Linked DNA regions of Cricetulus griseus. The protein of the gene in region 1 purifies or fractionates together with the protein of each later gene. This does not show direct contact. Links are inferred from orthologs where the notes say so. Each region holds a gene or a part of one and is shown on either strand. Other genes may lie near its edges.

Region 1 (3,916 bases):
GATTTTATCTTTGCTTTAAAAAAAATGCACGTGATACTTTCTGTGCACGTTCATTTACCTGTATATTGGAAAGGAGACTCCTACCTGTGATACTCTTGGCGGTGCTTTTTTCCTTAAGAACTTTTTAATCGATGCTTCACTGTGAAATGGCCAGTGTGCTCTCTGTAGGTAATATGTGCTGTCAACATATGTACATAGGTTGAAATATTACAGATATTTTTGTCCCAGCTTATTATTCTGGCTTCACAATAAGCCACATGAAAGTCATGTACAAGAACACTAAGGATTAAGGAACGTTGTTTCCTTCGGAGATTGCTGGCAAAATTTTAAAATTAAAAAACACCCACCCTCCGTTAAAACAACCTAGTAAATGGGTAGTAATATACTTGACTGTTAGGTTCCTACCGATTTGGATTGGCAGTTTTCAGAGCTGTTGAGTATCTGTAAATGTTTGTGGCTTTAGTTCCCGTTTCGTAGGAAATGGTGCCACCGTATTAGGTAGATGGGCTATGTGTCTCATCTGAAAATATTAAACTCCATCCCCCCCGCCCCGAGACTACAGTGGTAGCAAAAATAAGCCAGAGATGTAATGTGTATTTAAATACCCAGTTGAGCTGGCTGTTGGTTCTTAAATTAGATTCCATGCTCCGGCTAGAATCAACATGGTTTAAATATTAAAAACTTCATAATTCATAAGGCCAACCCCACCTCTTCCTCACGTACAGCGACGGAAGGTAGAAATATCTGTGAAAACTTGTAGCTACTTAAATACCGTAGGGGGAAATATGCCTAGGTTGGTATGCAAGGACTTGAAAAAATGCTTGACATTACGCTTTTAGCCAGGCCATAAGGGATCTGCTAAGGGATAGATAGATCACTGCTGAAAACACAGAAATGAGAGCTGCTTTTACATTTGTTACCGAACCGCCCCTTGTTTTCCTCCAAAGTACATTTTGTATACTTAAAAATACACACTCATTGGACAAGACTGGGAACCTCAGCTCCCCCACCTTCTGTCTTCAGCTTTCGACTTTCAGGTCCTTGCACAACACCTAAGACGTGCGATACTTTTTTTTTTTCCACTCTAATCCTGGCAGAGAACAGTTCGGAGAGATCTCCCTTCGCGTCTCCACCCTGATCCCCCTCTTCCTAGATTCCACCCGCTGTCTCTTTCCCTCCGCCCTGAGCTCCGCGGGCCCAATCTGTCAGAGAAGTTGTGTACAAACTGCGCCCCTGCTCTGCGCGCGAAGCTCATGGCCCGCGAGGGGTGCGGTCGGCCCGTCGGAGGCGGGACCTCGTGGGACTTCCTTTCCATTGGCTAGCCGCTGGCCCTGGGGCCTTGCTATTGGCCACGACGCTGCCAGTCGGGTGAGCTGGTCCTGCCTCCCTGGAGTTGGGTGAAATAGAGGCGGGCGTCAAGTGTCAGTAGTCGCGGGGCAGGTACGCGCGCTTGCAGCTTGCTTGGTGGAGCTCGGAGGTGGCGGGAGAGGGTTCCGGCGAGCGCTGGGGCGGGGCGGGAGAAAGTGGCGGCTGGAGGACCTCGGCGGTGACGCGTGGCCGAGCCCAGGAGTCCCGATCTACGTGCCCGCCTTCGTGAGCCGCTGGCCGCCGGCCTAGGGGTCCCCCCCGCAGCCGCCCCGCGCCGAGTCCGCAGTCCGGCGCCAGCCCGGGCGAGGTGGGAATCGCGATCACCCGGTGATCCACGCCCGTAGACCCCCCGACCGCCCATGGCCACGCGGGTGCTGACCATGGGCGCCCGCCTGGGACCCGTGTCCCAGCCACCGGCCACACAGGACGAGCCGGTGTTCGCGCAGCTCAAGCCGGTGCTGGGCGCTGCGAACCCGGCCCGCGACGCGGCGCTCTTCCCCGGCGACGATCTCAAACACGCGCACCACCACCCGCCTGCGCAGCCCGCGCCGCCGCCGGCCGCCGGCCCGCGGCTGCCCTCGGAGGAGCTGGTCCAGGTAAGCAGAGCGGCCGGCCTCCCTCCCCCGGCTCGGGCGTGTCCCGCCACTGCGAGGCGCGGGCGACAGGGGCCGCTCCAGGCTGGGACGCGCGGGAGCCGGTGCCCGGGTGGGCAGCCCCGCCCTGCGCTTCCAGACGGGGCGCCGGGGAGTGGATGGGGGAGCGGAGGGCCCGGGGCATCGCCCACCCCGATCTGCCCAGAGGAGGCTGAACACAGCCGCGCGCTCACGCGCACCTTGTCTGTTTTCTTGCGTGGGAATGAAAGCTTATATCCACGCTCAACTTAAATTGCGTCACCTTGACCACTCTCTCCGGATGGTCCTGGCCTAGGAAGTCCACCTGCCTGCGTCCTTCGGGGATGTGGAAATTGCAGATGGAGTCCTGGGGTTCCATACCCCTGTAGCTCACCCTAGAATGGGCTGTAAGGCCCCGTTTGGGAAACTAGGGTCAGAAGATCTAAGGTTGTATTAGAACACTGCTTTTTTCCTAAAAAAGGAACACGCGTACAAAAAGGCCACGGGTGTTGTTTTCTTCATGTGCGCGTAAATTTCCTCCCGGAGTCGCGTTGAAAGCTGGCAGTTGGCTTTTACACTTGCCCAGCAGCCGAATTAGAGCAAGCGCCTGTTTCTTTCGCCCACGCACGGGAGTCATATAGCCCAAGAAAAAAAAAAAAAAAACTTCCCGGGACTTTTAGCTACTCCCAAAGAAAAAAAAAATTGGAAACAGACCCACATGCAAACAGCTGGAAGAGCTAAAATCAGAAACCACTAACCGCCGCGGGAGCGCAGTGCACGAAAGGGTTTAGTTTGGTTTATTTCAAGAGGCTTGGTTTAATAGCCTCTTGCCGTATTGTGTATTTGCACCCAGCACCTACTTCGCGGGGTCTGCCAGTGTCGTCGTGCTTTGAGAGGACAGTGGCATTTGTCAGATGTGACTCACATGGCCAGAGCATGAATCTTTATTTTTAAGTCGTGCATATCCGGGAAATCCCGTCCGTCGTCGTCCACAACCAGATCTTAATGATCTGAGGTCCGAGATGAAATTCTTTTGAAATTTAGGAGCAAAAATAGGACTCCTGTTTACCAACTGAGGTGCAGTGGTTTCTTATTCTGTGAACTATTTCATTTAGTTGGGTTTTGTCCTTTTTCTGAGCTGCTCTTCAATGTCAAGAGGAATTGAGAGGAAAAATTAAGCTTTTATATGTTGGGAGAGAATTGCTGGGAAGACAGGCAGGTCGGAAGCTGCATTGTCTATTTCTTAAACAATCAGGGCCTGGGGGATACTTGGTTGTTTCACTTTGGCAGTTTTCTCTCGGGAGATAGCAGTAGGGTGAGGGATGACTGCGCTTTTTACAGAGGAAGGGGGAATGTAGCATTGGCCCACGGAGAGGACATGATAAATGTTTTGCTGATGAGTGTGCTGGCAATCGAGCAGCCTCTCCCCACCCACGGGCGTCCTAGCACCAGTCTACCAAGGGAATGATTTTCTCCTTGATAATTAAAGATCTGTTTTAGATAGGGAAATGAATAGGAACATTTCATTATTACATTAACCAATTACCGAATCTGCTGGTTAAAATCAACATTTACATCAAGCGTTGAACCTGTAATTGTTTTGTTTTAGCGGATACAAGGGTTTGCTTCAAACATTGGATTTTTTTTTTTTTTTTTTTTTGTTAATCAAAAGGCACTGAAATGGCCAGAGAACATTTCATGTTAGGCCTGAGATACCTAACTCTACCCACATAAATATTATTTTTTTAAGGTTTGCAAAGGTTTTAGTTTTCAAATGAAACATGTTAAATGTAATGGGTATGAACAGAAGTGGGGCAGTTTGGGTCATACTCTGATACTGTACTTAGATTGCAGAATTATCTTTCTTGGGGTGAGACTTGATTGCGTTGGAAAGGAAGATGTTTTGTCCTTGCCCCCACCCCCTTGCCTCTTTCACT
Region 2 (3,816 bases), on another chromosome or scaffold:
GAGCCATCTCTCTAGCCCTGTTGGTACCATTTGAAATGTGTTCTCAATGTCTCTCTGACATGTGCCCTGGAGGACATTTTTATTTTTGCCATAGAATGAAACCTTTTAGAAAAAAGAAAGCATAGAGATTCCTATTTGTAATTTACTTGGGGTTTTTAATTTGTTTGTTCATTTGTTTTTAACAGGATATTTTAAAACAAGCTACTGAAGATCGATTAACAAGTGCAAAGGAGTTACCCTACTTTGAAGGTGATTTCTGGCCCAATGTTCTGGAAGAGAGCATTAAAGAACTTGAACAGGAAGAGGAAGAGAGAAAACGGGAAGAAAACACTAGCAATGAGAGTACTGATGTAAGGGCTCTTTCTCTCTGCAGTGTCTACCTTGATGTCTAATTTGCTTGTTTGTTTTTTCAAGACAGGTCTTCTCAGGCCAGGTAGTACTGGTACACGCCTTTAATCAAAGCACTTGGGTGGCAGAGGCAGGTGGTTCAAGGCTTGCCTGGTCTATAGGTCTGCGATGCTGGGATGACAGGCATACACCATCACTGCTGGTCTAGGAGTTTATACTTTCAACTTAGTGTTTTGCACAAATTTTACTCTCAGGAAGTGCAAAGTCAGCCTGAGCCACATAGTTCATGACCCACCTTGGCTGTATAGCAGACCCTACCTAGACGTTGAAACTCCTGAAAAACTATACAACAAAAATACCAAACCAGGGTCGGGTGATGGTGGCGCACGCCTTTAATCCCAGCACTCAGGAGGCAGAGGCTCTGTGAGTTCAAGACCAGCCTGGTCTACAAGAGCTAGTTCCAGGACAGCCTCCAAAGCCACAGAGAAACCCTGTCAAACCCCCCCCCAAAAAAAAAAAAAAAAAAAATCATATAGTGGTTAAGAGCACTGCTTGCTCTTCTAAAGGTCCTGAGTTCAATTCCCAGCAACCATCACAACCATCTGTAATGAGATTTGGTGCCCTCTTGTGGCCTGCAGGCATATATGCAGGCCGAACACTGTACACATAATAAATAAATCTTTAAAAAAAAAAAAAAAAAAAACGAACCAGACAAATTATGACTAGTGCAGGCTTTATAGACTGCATATCCTCTCTGGTGTATTTTTTCAGAAGTGCTAGGGATCACACCCAGACTGACATGATACTAAACAGGTTCTCTGCCACTGAGATGCAGTATCCAAATAGCCTGTCTCTGCTTTTTAAGCCATCTTTTAAAATGTAAGATTCTCACTTAACCATATAAAAGCAGGCCAGGAACTGTCTTAACTTGTCTCCTTTAAAAAACTTGGTTTCGTACCCTAGTCAGTTATTGAACACTTCTAGGCTGTTTTCTGGGTTTCAACTTTCAAGTCAGGGCTGGCTGGGCATGGTGATACGGACCTTTTTGTTCACCATTCAAGAGACAAAGGCAGAAAGGTTTATGTGGATTCTAAGGCCAGACCTCTGCATAGCAAACCATGTCCAGAAAAGTAGTAGGTAAAATGGCTCTGGGTAAAGGCCCTTACCTAGTTCACTCTTTGGACCTATATTGTTGAAGCAGAGAACTGGCTCCCATGCATTGTTCTCTGACCTCCACACCTATGTGCTGTGGTATTCACACATAAATACACAAACACGCAAGCACCGTAGGTGAAGTTAAGTCTCTCTATCATAATACAGAGGCTCTTAAGCCAAGCATGGCAGTTACCTGCCTGTAATCTCGGTATTTGGGTGGTAGAGACAGGAGGGTCAGATTAAAGGTAAGCTGAATTTCACAATATGTAAGTTTCTGTTTCCTGTTTCTTTTTTTTCCCCCTGTCAATTTACCAAAAATCACCCCCCAGACAGGGTTTTTCCTTTTAGCCCTGGACTCGCTCTGTATACCAGACTGGCCCCCCAATGCCTTCCTCTGCCTCCCAAGTGCTGGGATTAATGGAGCACACCTTTGGTTAAATTCATTCATAGGTGGTGGGTGAAAGAGGAAACCAAAGCCTACTTGCTGGTTCCCTCTTCCATGCCTCGTGGCTTTCATTGTTCACCAACCATGGTGCCACTCATTCTTCACTCCTGTCCCAAATCTGGGACACATCAGTCAGCACTTCTGCAAATTGAGGCTTTTCATTTATTTATGTTTTGTTTTGCTTCTGGACAGTTCTCTCTGTAGGTATGGCTGACCTGGAACTTACTCTGTAGACCAGGCTGGCTTCGAACTCACAGAGATCCACCTGCCTCTGCCTCCCAGGTGCTGGGATTAAAGGTGTGTGCTGCCACTACCCATTAAATGAAGGTTGGGGTCTTTACTAGAAGGCAGTTAGGAGAGGTGGCTCAGTACTCATTGAGCACTTGATGCGCTTTCAGAGGCCCCCAGTCCATTCTTTTCTCTGCACCCACAGCAGAAAGCTCATAACTGTCTATCACTCCAGTTTTGTAATCAGACAGCCTTGGAAAGCGCCTATCCATGGTTGACACACATTCATACAGCTACATATATATACATAAGGAACCTACACATGGCTGGTCACAAACATTCATACAGCTATACACACACACACAAAAAGAAAAGACTAGTTAAGCATTAGTTTGGGTGTTTAAAAAAAAAGTGGATGTGATCAGCTAGAGAAATATCAGCTAAAATAGTAATACCTGTTTCAAAGAGTCTCTTACCTTCAATCTTATTTCCAGATCCATCCTAACTATTAAACATTTTCATATCTCCTTTATGCTGCCCTACAGGTAACAAAAGGAGATAGCAAAAATGCTAAGAAGAAGAATAACAAGAAAACCAGCAAAAACAAGAGCAGCCTGAGTAGGGGCAATAAGAAGAAGCCTGGTATGCCCAATGTGTCTAATGACCTGTCTCAGAAACTGTATGCCACCATGGAAAAGCATAAAGAGGTAAGAGACGCCCTTCAGGGTTAGAAGGGTGTGTGTGGTAGGCCATATTCTAAATTGCCCACCCCAACTGACACTATAATGAGAACTCCAGGTTGCTGAATATGAGGAGGGCAGACGTGGTTTGAGGGCTGACTAGAATGAAAGGAGTGTGTATAGACTTTGGTTGGTTGTGAAACAGAAAATGTGTTAACTATGGCTGATACCCATCCCCTCAGCCATGCCACTGACAAGAAAGGTCCTGCATTCTGGTAGATACCACTATCAGAATACATTCCTAATAACCTGGCCCAATTTTGAGAGTAAATTACTACGTTTAAAAGCTAATGGTAATTGATTTGATTTAAATTGTCTAATCTAGGAGCTAGATCCTCAGGCTCTGGGTGTGCGTTAGAAATTCATGACTTGATCTTTGCAATGGGATAACAGAAGCAAAATGTCAACTGTAATATATTGTAGGTCTTTATGCCAATTTATATAGATTCTTTTTTTTTTTTTTTTTTTTTTTTTGAGACAGGGAAACCCTGTGAAACAGTCCTGGTTGTCCTGGAACTCACTCTGTGGACCAGGCTTGCCTTGAACTCATAGAGATCCATTTGCCTTCCAAGTGTTGGGATTAAAGGCATGCGCCACCACCATCCTGCAATTTATACCTTAAAACCTCCAAAACTGAGCCTGGAGGTGGTGACGCACGCCTTTGATGCCAGCACTCAGGGAGGCAGAGGCAGGTGGATCTCTGTGAGTTCAAGACCAGCAAGATCTACAAGAGCTAGTTCCAGGACAGCCTCCTAAGCCATAGAGAAACCCTGTCTCCAAAAATGAATGAATGAATCAATCAATCAATCAATCCTCCAAAACTAGTCTAGAGACGAGACAGGGAGGCCTGACGGTACATCTTCAGACATGGAGTACAAGGCACACAAGTGCAGGCAAAGC

What was found.
Region 2: the proteins of Klf5 (region 1) and Ep300 purify together in Homo sapiens (affinity purification with western blotting; 3 studies listed by BioGRID). This does not show direct contact. The link is inferred for Cricetulus griseus from reciprocal best matches to the Homo sapiens genes KLF5 and EP300.

Annotation. Positions count from the first base shown.
Region 1 is NW_023276807.1:251,130,432-251,134,347, forward strand, and holds the start of Klf5 (Krueppel-like factor 5), read left to right. Parts: upstream 1-1,446; 5' UTR 1,447-1,727; coding exon 1,728-1,964; intron 1,965-2,905; exon of another isoform or gene 2,906-3,056; intron 3,057-3,916. UniProt on the Homo sapiens protein: Transcription factor that binds to GC box promoter elements. Activates the transcription of these genes.
Region 2 is NC_048595.1:378,790,225-378,794,040, forward strand, and holds part of Ep300 (histone acetyltransferase p300), read left to right. Parts: intron 1-185; coding exon 186-350; intron 351-2,721; coding exon 2,722-2,883; intron 2,884-3,816. UniProt on the Homo sapiens protein: Functions as a histone acetyltransferase and regulates transcription via chromatin remodeling. Acetylates all four core histones in nucleosomes. Histone acetylation gives an epigenetic tag for transcriptional activation.